2 linked regions of the Alligator mississippiensis genome follow. The protein of the gene in region 2 interacts with the protein of the main gene of each other region in a biochemical or structural test. Links are inferred from orthologs where the notes say so. Each region holds a gene or a part of one and is shown on either strand. Other genes may lie near its edges.

Region 1 (8,203 bases), on a different chromosome or scaffold from region 2:
ATGCATCTGTTCAAGAGAACTGGATCCTAAATTTGAACTATAGGTTTTGAGATTTTATTTAACATGATCTGCATTTGGAGGGCAAAGGGCATTAAAGGAGGAAATAATTATTAAAGTCCAAATGTCACATGCTGCCCAAAGGGGCAACGAAAGTTTTGCAGAAAACTAAAGAGCAGGCTAGAATGTATTGTTCCTAGGCTTTGGTCAGTTTTCTCTTTTTTGCTGAAGCACAAAAACAATTTAAACTAAAAGTCTTTGGGGGAGAGATCATCTTTTTATTCTACATTCGTAAGGTGCACTGTGGGCCCCGGGCCACAATTAGGGATCAGAGATATCACAGGAATACAGACAGAAGCTAATGAAAATGGGAGTAGGTGGGGGTAGTTTGGTTTTCTTGTGATCATAATTATTATAGACTTAATGTTCAAGAGGTATGAAACTGCCAGCCCTAAAAACTGAAATCTGTGTTCAAAAAGCAGGCAGTGAGAGCTGCCCAAGTTACATAAAGTGTATATGTAGTTACTGAATTTAGTGGTAGCACATTTCACAAAACATAACAATGAAGGCCCATACGTGTTATAGACATACTTTTTAGTTTTCACCATTCAGGCCTGCATTCGTAGGAGAGAATTTGCACATTGACTCCAAGACCAAGGTTTCCTCCACACACTACGACTGCCCTCACCTCAAAGGCACATGTTCTAGCCTCTGCTAAGAAAGGAATAACATGGCTCCTCTATTAGCAAGAGATCACTTTTCAGCAGCATTCTCTGAGGCTACCACACCATGTCACTGAAAACTTCAAGAGCAGAGCTGAATTTAAACACAGGCCTCCTACTTTAATGCATTAACAATGAGTCCAAATCAAAAAATCTTTTAGTGTGATTATCAATTTTATACCAAATATTTCCCAACGTAAAAAGTTCCTATTAATCTATTATACAAAAAGAACTCCAACTCCCAAAATTTGTGTTACTGATCAATCTCATGGAAATGAAGATTTTTTTCCCTCATGTACAGAGTCTAGGGGGAAAAAAAGACAACTTAGATTTAATAACCACCAGAAAACTTATTATGAACATTTACATTTTTGGCCAGGAGCTAAGCACAAACTTCCTGTACAAGCTTTAATTACAAGGTAATAAAATTCAACAAGTGTTTCAAAGAACTTTTAGTGGGCCCTTCTTAAAAATAAAAAGGGGGAATTATGTTCAGAATTAACTAAATTAATCAGATTGCTAAACTTTGTAACATTCAAAGCTCTTTGTGCAAAGGCATGAGGCACTGGTGGGCTGGTGAAATTTTTCATAATGCTGACTAGAAAGTTTTCATAACATATGGGAATCCTTGAATTTCGCAGAAAAACTAATCTTATAGAATGATAAATCACTGAGAAACTGATGCACAATAAAGAGCCTTCTGGCTGGAGTTTCAGCTCCCACTCTTTAACTGAATTATTTCCATAATTTAATTGAACAAGATCCTAACCACACCATTAAAAATGCTGCAAGATTTTTAATAGGAAGAAGACTTGCAACTGGCGTCCTGTCCTAATTCTGTATTAGGCTATAACCTGCTGTCTAACCAAATTCCCTTCTGCATGAATATGACAGGGTCATTTCACTTCCTTTTCTGTCAGGAGCAGATGTGGAGTCTTGCTGTTAAGACATTACTGCTAAATTTCACCTCAGACATGGCTGCATTTAACAGAGGAAGTGGTGATCTCTATAGAGATTCCTGTTTCACAAAAGTGAGGTTTAATTGACATTATACTAAAATGCCTTCATGTCCCCAATGCAAAGGCACAGCAGAAGTGCAAACCAGGGCACAAATAACTGCAAAGGAACACTAGGAAAACCAGTTACTGTTCCCTTTTTTTCTTTTTCTTTTTTAAACAATCTGCTCTTATTTTTTTTTTTTTTTTACTTCTCCCCTTATTTTGGACACTGAGATCACAAAACCTTGTGACATGTACATGTGCCAAAGCAGATATAGGCAGGGGGTAGAGGGTGTGCATGCATTAACTAAAGTAGATATAGGTGTGTGGGGGGGGGGAGTGTACACACACACATTAACTAAAGTAGATATAGGTAGGGGGGGTTGTATTAATCGAAGTGTGTGTGGGGTGGGCGGTAGATCAATCAATCTTTGTGGACTTCTCCCATCCTTAGTAATTGAGAGATGTAGTCAGCTGTGTTAGACTGAAGTCAAGTAAAAGGCAAGGTAGATTTGTACCTTATAGACGTAACCAAAGTAAATACATATATGTAGATGCACACACGTGCATACACATATATAGGCATACGTACAATATGCATGTGTCCGTATATATATGTACACATTATAGACCAACCAAAGTAGATTGTACACACACACACTAGTACACATGTATTACAATACATACAAATCTACTCTGGTTAGTCTACAAGGTGTCCTTGTATGTGTATACATATACACAGACATGCACATCTGCACGCACACGTATGAATGCGTCTGTAGACTAACCGAAGTGGGCAGGGTGCACATGTACGTGTCTCTACCCATGTCTAGGTACACGCGTAGTGCAGAGGCACATGCTCCGGGCACGTGTGTGTCCCCCCCCGGCCCGGCCCGGCCCGGCCCCAGAGCCCGCGGGAACAAGCGGGCGCCCCAGGCCCCGCGGCCGCTCCCGCCCGGCCCGGCCCGGCCCGGCCCGGCCCGGCCCGACCCGGCCCCGCCCCCGCCCCCGCCCCGCTCCCCGCGGCTGCTCCGCAACTTTGTTGTGGGGGCCGGCGCCGACTCACCGCTGGGGAAGGGCTCCATGTCCCCGGCGGAGCCGCGGCGGAAGGCAGCGCCGAGACGCGCAGCTGCAGCGTTCACTGCTCCCCGCGCCGCCGCCGCCGCATGCTCCCGGGCCCCACTGGGCCAGCCCAGGCGCTGCCGCTCCCGCCCGTCGCCCTGCGCAAGGACCCCGCTCAGCGGCGGCGCCTCGGCGGTGATGAGCCCCGAGCGACCATTTTCTGCTGCCCGGCCTCCGCCTCCGCCGCCGCCGCCGCTCACTCCTCCCCTGCCAGCGCTGGGCTGGGCTGGGCCGGGCAGGGCCGGGCCGGGCTGCGCTGCGACCGCCTCACAACCTCCGCCTCCTCCTGCTGCCGCTGCCAGATCCGGCGGCTGCTTTCTCTCCTCCCCCCGCGGGTCAAAGCCTTGAAACCTTCCCTCGCAAAGTTTCTTCTCCAGCCGTGCTTGACACCTTCCTCCCGCGGGGCCGTGTCTGACGCAGTGAGACCGCCTCATAAACGCGCCTTTGCAGTCATAGAGCCGCAGACAATGAGGGCTGGAGCCGGGGACCCCCGGAGGTCACCTCGCCCTCCAAGCAGGACCATCCCCGCCTGTATCATCCCAGCCAGGGCTTTGTCTACCCGGCTCTTAAAAACCTCCAAAGATGTTGGCACTGCAAGAGGATCTCTTAGCACCCACCACAAGGATCCCCCCTTCCAAGCAGAGAATGGCTCACTTCTAATCCTAGTAAATCTCCAGGGCCCTGATGGACCTGAGCAAAGACTCGTGCAGGGTGCATAGCTTCCCTCAGGCCAGCAGTGAGCTCCAAGGAAATGCCTGAAGATTAATTATTCCCTGCAGGCCTCCTGAGGGCACGACAAGTGCCACCCTAACCTAAACAGCCCAGGCAGAAGCAGCCATCGCTAGTTTTGGCAGGTTTAATTTAAGCCGCCTGGTGGTTTTCTGGCAGGCACGCTTCATGGGAGTCATGCCCTCCCAAGAATCTGCTTTTGGAAAAGAAGGGAAGGGAACAGAAGTTAATGGGTGCAAAGAAGAAGCTGACAGGTGAACAGCAGAGACTCCCTGTACCTGAAGAAGGGCGATTGCACCCAAAAGCTTGCTGAGAACTTTTTCCAACTACTCAGTTGGGCTCATAAAAGATGTCACATCTAATGAAAGCACCTCGCCTGACAAGTGATTCCACATTGTCCTGGAAGGGTTCAGAAGGCAAGGAGGCAGGAGTCCCAACCTCGCTTATTCATTCATTGATTTATTTAAACTTCAGTTTTCAACCTTATTCTTTTATTTATTTATTTTTAAATATGAAGGACAATGAATGCTTGGGTTTCACAGAATCAGAGAAGTAAGGCTAGAAGGGACCTCCAGAGGTCATCTTGTCCAAACCCCAGCATGAAGCAGGATCATCCCTAGCCGAACCATCCCATACAATCCATAATTTAAATTCTGCATAAGAGTAACGTCAACCCTGACACAACGTAGACCTAACACCCTAACCTGCCACAGGGAAAGCAGGGGAACCAGGACAGCCAAGGTCCTGCTTCTGTGAAACGTCACCAATATATGCTCAAGAGATCCTGTGTAAAGGGCCGCACCCCCTGCTACGGAGGAAGGCAAAAATCCCTACAGGCCATATCAATTTGGCCATGGGATAAAATGACTTCCTGACTCCAAATATGATGATTAGTCTGACCCTGAGCAGCATTGACACACCTCAGTCACACACTGTAGCCAGCCCCCAATGCTTAAAAGCCCCCTGATACATGTGGCACAAAAGGGGCAAAGCCCAGAAGCATGGGAAATACCCATGGTAGAACATCGGCATCTCTATGCCTAGATCATCCCTGAACAGTGCCTATCCAACCTCTTGAACACCTCCAACGATGGAGAGTTCACAACTTCCCTAGGCAGTCTATTCCACAGCCTCACTATTCTAACAGTAAAGGCATTTTTCTGGATATCCGATCCTAAGAAAAATCCAGAATACCATAGCTAGCCAAAATGAAACTGCAGGATGGACTTTGGTTCAGATCCCAACCCCCCCAACCAAAAAAAAAAAAAAAAAAAGGACTTAGGTGCCTTTTTTCCACCCAAGTCCAAATCTGAAAACTCCTGCTCAGCTGCTGCCTAACCCAAGAGATTCCTCAGTCCCAAAACTACTTGTTTTTGTTGTTAAAGCTCCTCAGGTCCCTGGAGGCCTGCCTTCTGTTTATGCCCAGGAGCACCTCAGTTTTGGCAGGCTGGAGTAACTCAGTGCTTACTCCATGCCTTACAGACTGGAAATAAGGCATTCCCTTTCTCATCTTCCCTGAGATGTTTGCTGGGTGTACGTTCTAAGAGCATGGCCAATGCACTGAGCTGCACAGAACTCAGAGATGTATTACTACCATCTCCCCACTTTTATGCATAGATCAGTGGTTAGAGCCCTCACACAGGTTATGGGGTGACCCAGATCCAATCTGTCTTGTGCCTGAGGTAGCCCACACCCACCACTCTCAGAATCCTAGTCATTAGGCTATAAGCTGTTGTGGGGGAGAAGGTCCACACAACTTTTTCAAGCTGTCTCACTTTCCAAAAAAAGAAATCCAGATTTACTAAGCCAGAGAGAAAGAGAGAGACAGAGAGACAGAGAGAAAGCATGGTTCTCTAATCCAGTGTTTCTCAACCCATGGGTCATGACCCAAAAGTGGGTTGCAAGAATATATGAAAGGGTCATGAACAAACTTTAAAAATGAATCAAAAATTGATTCTCCTTTAAAGGAGAAAAACGTGGGAAACTGGCTTTTCCCTTACGGGCCATCAGAGTTCCAGTCTGCAAGAGGTTGCTTGAGGCCCCCTGCCCAACATCCCTGCCCCACATGCCCACCCCCTGCCCCACACACTGTGGAGCAGGGAGCAGTGGGTTGGGTCATGACTGGCCATCAGTGTTTACAAATGGGTCCTGGTACAAAAAAGGTTGAGAACCAGTGTTTAGAGCACTTATTTGGGTTGCAGTCCATGCTTCAAGAACTGTTTACACATATATTGTTTCATGCAAAGTGCTGGACCCCCTTCTCTTAGGTGAGTGCCCTAGATCCTATTCTAAATCACCTAACTCCCTTTTGCATTGTGTAGAGAGCCTAAGCACCTTGAGAGTCTAGATTTCACTGTCAGGGTTCAGGTCTCTAAGGTTGTGCAATGCTCATCAGTATAGTATTTAAATCTCTTACTGGATCTAGCCCTTAGTTACCAAAGTTACCATTTAATCTTAGGGGTGAGACTCCTAATTATGCAAAGTGTAATAAGAGTTTTAATGGCTTTAGTGATCAAAAGGTCGCTTTTATGTCTTGTAAATGTGGCACCTCCCGCAATAAGGAGCCATGTGTGTCTGAATGAGGCACTGGCTCTGCTGTGACTTGAAAACAAGAGTGCTCTGTTAGAGTAAATCAAGCAACACCACTTTTCTCAATACCTGGAATTTCCTTAAAGGTTTCCTCTCTAAGTAGTAACTTTGCTGGGATATTGCACTATCTCATACAGAAACTTCATAGAAGATGAACGGGGTTGCCCTGTTACTTCTTTCATTTTCAGAACTTTGTAAACAAGTCTTGAAATACCATTTTCCCTTCAAAATTTGCTATTAGCATCAAACATCCCTATGAGGCAGGTGACTCAAATTAAGGACTGGCTACCGAAATTGATATCCCTGGTTGTCCCATCCAAATCAGTTTCCCAAGAGGTCAGTAGGACTACTCAGCTGCATAAATGACAGCACTGAGCATGTTTGCAGTGGTACCTCCTCACAGCTGAACAAAATTATGATGATGATAACACACAACTATGTTGGGGTCATTCGTTTAAAAGCTACAATTAAGGAATATAAAGTCCAGGCCTCTTTAAAGATACAGGATTATGCTGAAAAAAAATGGTCAAAGGATGGCTTATGTTTGTAGAACACCTGGCATTGTGAGACTGCTCTCTGGCCTCTACCTTGTGACCAACATAGTAAGAAGATTTAACAATATGTCATAAACTACAGTGCTAGTGGAACAGTAAAGTTGTTGCCATGACATTCCATAAATCAGCAACCTGATGAATGTCTTGCATTTGAAAGTTTGTCTAACTCAGGGGCTGGCAATTATTTCAGGCAGAGAGCTACTTACCCAATTTTGGCAAGCTGTCAAGGGCTGCATGGGTTGCCCTTGACAGGTGCCCTGCCCCCTGGTCACCATCTTAGGACCAATGTCTCAATGTCTTGGGACCAATGTCTCAGGGCCAGCACCGGTGGGGCCCAGAGTAGGGCGCAGGCTGGCAGGGGTCTGTGGAGATAGGCTGGGCTGCACCAGCAGGGAGAGGGGGAGTTGACCAGGCTCCATAGAGCCCCTCCCAGCCAGGACCCTGTACCCCTGCCACCCTGCTCTGAGCCCTGGCAGTGCTGTCCCTGGGACACTGGTGTGGGCCCCGTGCACCCACTCACACCCAGTGTCCCCCCAGCCCTGCGGTACAGGCAGGGGGCAGCATGCAGCTCTGACCCCATGCTCACCGGCAGGGAAGGAGCTGGTGCTGTGTGTGGGAAAAAGCGGCCCCTCACCCGCCCCGTGGCCGGCGCTCCCTGCAGCAGCCCCTCGCAGCCCGCATGGGGCTGTCCTGAGCAGGCACAGCCAGCCCTGCATGGGCTGCGAGCGGCTGCAGCATGCGGCACCGGGCATGGGGCAGGCGAGGGGCCACTTTTCCTGCACTCAGCACCAGCTTGTAACCTGCCCCCACTGCCAGCCTGGGACCCGCGCCAGCTCTGGGCTCGCCTGTCAGGGCTGCACGTGGTGGGAGCAGCTGCAGCCCTCCTCACTTGTCATGCTGGGCAGCGTTTGCCACCGCTGCCTCTGGCCTGCCCAGTGTGCAAGCTCCAGGTAGGCAGCAGCAGCAAACTGCCCTGGGGGGGCCACAGCTGCTGCCACCATGTGCAGCCCCGATGGGTGAACCCAGAGCCGGCACAAGGTTCAGGCTGGCAGCAGGGCCGGGTTACAAGCTGGTGCTGAGGGAGGAAAAAGTGGCCCCTCGCCCATGCCGTGGCCAGCACCCCACGCTGCAGCTGCTAACAGCCCATGTGGGGCTGCCTGTGCCTGCTCAGGACAGCCCCACATGGGCTGCGAGCAACTGCAGCAGGGAGTGCCAGACACAGGGCGGGTGAGGGACCTCTTTTCCCCAGGAACCTTCCTGCCTGGGGTCCTCTCCCCTCATCCCCCCTCTTCCTGAGGTTCTGGTGCGGTGCAGTCAGACAGTCCCAAGCCAGAAGCCCCTGCTGGGGCTTCCAGCTGTGGGGGTGGGGCCGGGCAGGCCCTGCTGTTGCAGGAGCCTGCTGGGCTTCCCCTGGGTCCTACTGCCCCTTCTTCATGTCATTTTTAGCAGGAACCAAGGACAGATAAATATTAATTTTCTAAATTTTTTAGGG
Region 2 (7,540 bases):
CTGGGAGGTCATGGGGGGCATGTTCCCCTGGATCTGCGTGTGGGGCGAAGGCAGGCTGCTGCTGTGGACTGGGGCAGTGCTAGGCTATCCCTGGCAGGGGTGTTGGGCAGGGCTGGGCTCGGGGCAGGCGGCAGCAGTGCTGGGAGGGGGGCTATGGCAAATTCTGGGGTGGCTGCAGCAGCCTTCCCCCTGCAGCCCCTTCCCAATGCCACTGCCACCTGTCCCAAGCGCAGCCTGGCTCTGCTCCCCTCCCAGGAAGAGCCTGGCACCACCCCAGTCCCAGCCTGCAGCAGCAGCCTGCACTTGTCCTGAACACAGGTCACATGCCCCCACAGATGGGTGCAGGGCAGAAGCTGCTTCCCCCTCCCCCTGCTGAACAGTGCCTGCCCTTGCCCCACTCCCTCCCTCACCCTGGGGGCCTCAATCTGCCCCTCCCTAAGCCCCTTCCCTCCCGGCACACCAGACGTACCAGCCTGATGCTGGTGTCCAAGCTGCCCAGCTGCATATCAGAATTGGATCAGTATTGGCTGATACGGCTCCTTAAAAGAAGATTAAATTTGGCCATTGGTACTGGCCCAAAAAATCTCTATCAGTGCACCCACAGTTTTGTGGTACTTATTCCTGACTCTGGAGCCACTTGCAAGACCAAATATTGGAGTTCACATATTGAGTCAGAGACAGGCCTTCTTTCCTTTCCTATCCTCTCCATTATTGTGAGAAACATTCCACTGCAGAACAGCCAAGAGATGCCTCTACCACCCTTTTTTCCAGCTATGACAACTAAGCTTATTGTGTAGATTCCTGTGACTTAACTCCTAGATCTTCCTTGGGATTTGAAATGGTTTCTCTAGCCTTTCTGCATTGAGTTAATAGCCCTTCTACTTACGTTTGTAAGTAGTGTGTTCTTTTGTGTAGTTACCGTAGATGAACAGAGTTTCTGTAAAAAAATTTTATTCACAGGAACAGCATCTAGTTACCATAAACCCCACCAACTCTCTATTGTACTTTTTGGTTGACATGCTCCTTGTCTGCCTGTGTGACATGAAATCTGTTTTTGACAGCTAGATACCACTACCTTTCTGCACAGGGATTGACCAACAGTCTATTTAACCTTCAATACAACTTAATGGCCAGAGGTGCACTTCTGCCGCATACTACAGAGTCCAGATTAATCTTCAACCAGATCCTACTGTCACCGTCTTTCTATCATTATTATGTGTGCTTTAAAATCCACTTTATAAAGTGTCTCTCGTATCAGGAAGAAGACTGGAAATTGCTTTTATTTAAGGACTGCGAGAGAATTCAACAATGTCTGCCCAAAAAAGTTAAAAAAAACCCAAAACAAAACCAAACAAACAAGGACACCTAAGTTGCAATGCAAGGACACAAACCAATTCAAACAGTTCCTTGTGCTGTGGCTTCACCTCTGCGTCAAAGCAATAGTCTATAAAGGCGAACAGATTTCTCTAGAAGAGAATTAAACCAACAAAATTTTCCCAGCACATGCTCTAGAAATGAAAGTACACACCCAAGCTTATTAATAATCGTTTTGCAGTGAATAAGACAGCAGAGCCTTTGTTACCACTTCCTGGAAGGTTTCTCTATCTTCTATAACCTAGTAATCCCTCCAGAGACAGAAAACTGAAGGAGCAGTACTTAATAATATTCAAACCTTAACCAAGGGAACAAAACACAAATTAAAACTAGTGTTCTATATTATATTATAGTCTTGATTTTATTATAGTTCAGGTCACTGTAGAAAAGGCCCAACTCCAGCAGTGGAAGTCAATCTTAACAAGAGACTGGCAGCTCTATCAGATTTTATCAAAGTCTAGCAGGCTGAGCTGTCCTAGGAGGGAAATCATCAGTAACCTCCTTGTAACGCAACTGTATCCAGTAATGAAAGGGATGAGTATAGTCAATTAAGTGACCGCTCAGCGTCTTTACTGCCTAGTGGCACACATCCCCTGTGCCTCTCTCTGTTTAGAATCTAAACTAATGCAACAAGGGTTTTATTTTTCAGATGTAAGAGTTTTCAATTTCCATTTTGCAAACCCAAGCAGGATGATTCTTTTGCTCATGCAGGCATTTAAATGGTACTGTTTTACATGACTACCTCCTCAGAGCTTCGATTTTTCTGTTATCACCTCCATAATGTGCAACAGATGAATAAAGATTTTTGATTAATAATAAAAAACCTTGATGAGTGAAGAATTAAGGGATTGAAAGCAAACAAGTGGGTGCCCGGCTTAATTAAAGGAAAACATTCTCAAGGAAGAATGATTTGAATCAGCTAGCGGGGCACCCTGCTCATGAACACATGGCTCCACGGACTTAAAAAGCCGACTGATCACTTTGGAGGTCAGGATGGAAACCACCCGTCTCAGAAGACGGCAGCCGTGGGGGCTTTTTGTGGGCTAATGCACCTGGGTGCAAACTTCTGAATAAAAGCACTGGGGCCAAGACACTGCTCAACCAGTGCAGGGCCGGTATTTGTGAGGCCCTGCGCTGCGTACAGCACCTTGCTCCCAGGTCCTGTGGCGCGACGCTCTACCCCGCCGTGACCCCCCGGCAGAGACTAGAAGTCGCCCGTGCCAAGCAGCTGGTCCCAGTTACGTGGCTGCCAAAGACCACTCGTGTCCCAGCGCTCGGGGACACCCTGGTGCCGCCTGCCGGGGGCGGCGGTGGCGGCGATGTCGCGGTGCAGGGCCGGCCCAGGCGCGAGGCGGGGCGGGGCAGCCCGGCGGGAGGCAGCGGGCCCGGCCGTACCTGCGGCGAAGTGCAGCGGGCTGGACTTCCTGCCCGCCGTGTCGCGGCTGTTCACGTTGTCGGGCCGCACCAGGCGCTTGACGCGCTCCACGTCCCCGTTGCGGCAGGCCTCGAACAGCTCCCGCGCCGGCTCCGCGCCCCCGCAACCCGGCGCCTCAGCCAGCGCCGCCCCGCCCGCGCACCGCCGCCCCGCCATGCCCGGCCCGGCCCCGGGGCAGCGGCGCGGAAGCCTCCGAGCGGGCGACACGGCCACTGCCTCCCTGCAGCTCCCGGCGGCCGAGAAGGCCCGGCGCGCAGGCGCACTGACAGCGCCGCGGAAGTGGGGGAGAACGAGCGCGAGACCAACGTGCGCGCGGCGCATGCGCTGTCCCGCCGGGCTCCGCTCGGGGGCTTTGGCCTCTGCCCTGCAGGGCCGCGGGCGCTCTCGGGCGCCCCCTGCAGGGTCTGGGTGGCGCCGCGTGTCCCCCTCCCTGTCCCGGGCACTCCCGGCCGTCCTAGACCGGGGAGCTCGTGGGGGCGGGGCCGGAGGCGTCCGCGTTCATGGTGGATCTCGGTCCCTGTCCCGGCAGCACACGGTCACCATGAGCGTGGCTTGTAACAGTGTGCTGGGTTTTGTTTCCATGCAATAGAAGTTTTGCTGCTTTAATTATGCCAATAGCGTGAGTGGTGGGAGTAATGCAGCACCAGTATAAAAGTCCCCCAAATTAGGGCACCAGTGTAACTGCACTGGGGCTTTTACTGGTACAGGTGTGCCAGAAAAACCTCATGTTCTTGACCAACTCTTAGACTAGTAAAATGCTGGGGTGTAGAGCAGCCCGTAGGCTAGGTGCACAGGGCAGGCGGCCACCAAGACTGATTACCAGTGAATGGATCCAACTGCCCAAGCAAAGGAGCAGCCAATGTACAGGACAGTGTCCTGGGCAAAACCAGCCCAGAGGCCCTGGAGACTTTACATCTGATCCCTGGGATATAGCTATTGAATGCTGTGGGCATTAGGCTCATACTCCAAAGAAATTGGGGGTTGCTTAAATGTTGCTGCTTTGAGGGTGTGACGGACAGAGAGGCTAGAAAAATATCATTTGCATTGCAGGATCAGTGTCCCGGCACAGCTGATCTGATTTGACAGGTAGAGACATCACCTGAAGATGTCCTGTAGGGTCAGGCCCCTCCAGGGTCTGCAGGGGCCCAATCCTGGTTCCCAGGTGCGATGTGGAGTGGAGAACCCAATGGGATTCCCTTGCTCTGCAGCATGAAACATGCCCCAGAATCCCCTGCAAGAGAATTCCCTTGATGTGCTTGCAGCCATGTGCCGTAGGGTGAAGAGGGGGCTATGACTGCGATGGAAGCAGTGGCTTGTGGGAAGCGTGGGTTCCCTGTCATTTCATATTGCTGGGGTTGGGCTTTCAGACACCCTTTGCAATGTCCCTGGGCAAACAGTTACCACATTTTTTGTGGCAGCAGATTTTGGGTTTTGTCTCAGACACTGGAAGCGGGGGACCAAGTACTCCCTGAAGGGCCCAGCCAGCAGCCTGCACCCAGGGGCATGTCTGTCCGTCCCCGCCCCTCCCCCCCACCAAAAAAAAAAAAAATCAGTACTCCACTGGATGCCTGTTTCTACCCAGAGAGGAAATATGAGTTTGTTAAGAGAATATAAAATTGGTTCTGTCTCATCTTGTAAGTCAGCAGTAAGCATATTTAGCTGGGATTACTATGAATTTTAAGACTCAGTATGACCAAGTAGTGTTTTAAGGTAAAAATAGTTAGTTTTACAAAGTTTGTCGGTCAATATCACTTGTCATAGGTCACCAAAAGGAGGGAATCTTGGTGCCTGAAACTAAGTCAGATCTCCAGAGTGATAAATGGCTTATATATTGGGCACGTCTATGTGAGATGTTTACTAGGGAGTTGCCTAATGAGCTCTGCAGTGAATGTCTCGGTGTCTACACATATGGCCCTATTAGGTCATAGGAAACTAATACACTCCACAGCAGGTTAGTACTTGTAAATACAAGTGTGGAGTTTTTTCATGCACAGCAATGCATGTGTAGATGCTGATGGAGCTGGCTGGGTCAATAGAGTGCTTCAGTGTGTGGGCTGCCTACCAGCTATCCTTGCACTGAAGCACCCTTGTGCCGCAGCCAGCCCTTCCACAGCAAGTTGAGCTAGGTTGGAGTAGCCACAGGCTGGCAGGCTGACCCCCCCAGGGCCTCCTGCCAATCAGGCTGCTCTGACCAGGCTCGATGTGCTACAGTCCTGGGTGCACATGTAATTGCAGCACTCACGAGCAATAAACTCTGGCATGATATGCACTGGAGTTTATTGTGTTGCATTAATTGGCACATGTAGATGCGCCCATTGGGTAGCATATACTACTGGAATAGAAGCATAAAAATAATGATATTTCTCCCAGAAACAAATCAGGGCAAGTGTTCCAGCACCTGAGGGGCAGTTCTTAAGGACAAAGAAGAGAGGAAGGTGCAGCTAGCCCTGCAACTGTGACCAAGGTCCATTAATTTGTGAGGGCATGGACACATACTAACACTTAGAATATGGCTGAAAGTGAAGTGGACAGACATATAAGCCAACTACACCAGTTTAAATATGTCTGGTAGGCTGTCAATAGACATCTAATTTGACATGGATCTGGTTGTCTCAGAGTTTGGCCCAGATCAAAACAAGTGTGGCACAGCCATTTACACGTCACCCTTCCAAGATTTATTGCTGCTCCTTAGAGACATAAATTACCATGTCAGGAAAAAGCATTAGCACATTTTATCCTGAATATTTCAGAGGCATTTGAAGTGCAACAATGAACTTAGCAGACAAGGTTCTTTAGGTAAATGTGATATCTTTTATTAGACCAAATAAATAGTTGGAAAAATTATTCTTTGCAAGCTTTCAGGCAAAAACATCCTTCAGGCCTAGGGAGAATCTGCTGTTACTTTGTGTTCTCCTGGATGGAATAGAAGCTGATATACAAAATGCAAGTCTGTGAAAATTCAAATACATGGCAGTGAGGATCAGAAGCCATGGGATGGTAGGTTCTGGAATATGAAACAATTATTTGGCCATTTTCTGACTTCTGAAAAAGAAGTGGCAGAGGGAGAGGTGAGAGCTGTGAATGGGAGCAGTAGATACAGTTGCTTTTGATAGGTTTGAGATAGGTGGGTGGGTGAGTAATGTTGACAGATATACAGTGAACTTAACATCTGTTAGATCCTGGGAAAAAAGGCTTTCTCCCAGGACAAATGCAATGTTTATTTGTAGTCAAACAGTTTAAAAGTGTAACTGGAAAATCAAGTACTATTTTGAACCAGTTCACTGTGAACCAGTTCAGTTTTATGGGGAGCACTTTAGACAATGCTTAGCTGCTGGCCCAATGGTTGGAGTATTTTGCTGGGAAGCAGGAGACATGTTCAAACCCCTTGGGCTGATATAACTCAAATCTGCTCCTTCACAAAGTGCCTTGACCTCTAGGCTACTGGGCTAAAAGGAGAGGGGGCAGCCCTCCTAAACACTTCCAGAAGGTAAACATGCAGGGCAATCCTATTTTCAAGGGATGAAAACAGAATCCCAAAGTGTGCGTAAGGGGCAACAACTCCACCAACATGACTACTTATGTGCCACTTGGGCACATGAAAAGGAAATAAGACTTAACATACAGATTTTACAACAAAAGGTGATCTTTGAGAAGAAAGTCTACTACAATCTTTACAACATGGCAGCTATGAATGCTCCCTTATTTAGGGACCGAAATAAGTGGCTTCAAAAGTGCTGAGCCATTGAAGTCAATATGTATATTACCTCACAAGGCTATATGATGGAATTTAATACCACAGGCATTTCTCAGTAGCACAGTCTACACGACACTATTTTATTTTGTGGGGGGGGGGGGTATGCTTTTCTGAAAATGTAATGAAAAAGTTAAAAATAGATTAAAAAACTAGCAGTCTCTTAAAATGTTATGACCTTTTAGATCTAAGATAAAAAACATTTAAACTACATCATGAACATGTCTACATGAGATGCTGACTGCGCAGTAGCCTAATAATACTGCACAGTAGCGTGTCACAGCACAGACAATGCTAATATGTTAGTGTGCAGTATTATTAAAAGACATGCACCGATGCTACTGTACAGTAACTCTAGTTACTATATATTTATTCGGTACTTGCTTATACAAGTACTAAATAAATATGCAGTAACCACTTCGTAGTAGTTGTCTTGTGTAGATGAGCCCAGTTATACTAAAAAGCACCGCTGTTACAAGTTACTTGTGCTTCTGCAAGGCTCTGCAGCAGCTGGAATATGGAACTGCATCATGGTTCACTTTTCTCTGAGAACCTGCAGTAACTGGAATGAAGGGGAGAAAGTAAGTTTTAAATTCATATGTAGTAGGAGCTTGATTCTTTAAGGTGTGGAATGTAATCGACTCTCACTGAGGTGAATGAGTCAAAACCTCAGCAACTTGAAGGACCAGTCCATTAATATCTCCTCATTCTGACTTTTTTCACACTTATTGTAGAACACCCAAATCCAGAAAAACAGCTAAAGTTTTAGCTTTCATTTATTAACCACATCTCAAATTATGAAATAGCAATTAAGACTGTAGCAGATTTAGTAAGTGCAGTGAGCTTTCTCTAAGATACTGGACTCAATCATTTATTTTGAAAACATGCTTGACTAGACACTAGATGGCAGAAGAATGCAAGAGAAAAGTCTCTGTGCAGAACTATTTTCTTGCTATTTTCCAGTTGGTCTAATAAAAGAT

What was found.
Region 1: the proteins of TNKS2 (region 2) and LNPEP form a complex in vitro, tested with the Homo sapiens proteins (4 studies listed by BioGRID and IntAct, with this or other methods). The link is inferred for Alligator mississippiensis from reciprocal best matches to the Homo sapiens genes TNKS2 and LNPEP.

The regions. Positions count from the first base shown.
Region 1 is NC_081826.1:238,311,957-238,320,159, forward strand, and holds the start of LNPEP (leucyl-cystinyl aminopeptidase), read right to left. Parts: upstream 3,200-8,203; 5' UTR 2,803-3,199; coding exon 2,784-2,802; intron 1-2,783. UniProt on the Homo sapiens protein: Release of an N-terminal amino acid, cleaves before cysteine, leucine as well as other amino acids. Degrades peptide hormones such as oxytocin, vasopressin and angiotensin III, and plays a role in maintaining homeostasis during pregnancy.
Region 2 is NC_081829.1:68,961,329-68,968,868, reverse strand, and holds the start of TNKS2 (poly [ADP-ribose] polymerase tankyrase-2), read right to left. Parts: upstream 3,054-7,540; 5' UTR 2,966-3,053; coding exon 2,770-2,965; intron 1-2,769. UniProt on the Homo sapiens protein: Poly-ADP-ribosyltransferase involved in various processes such as Wnt signaling pathway, telomere length and vesicle trafficking.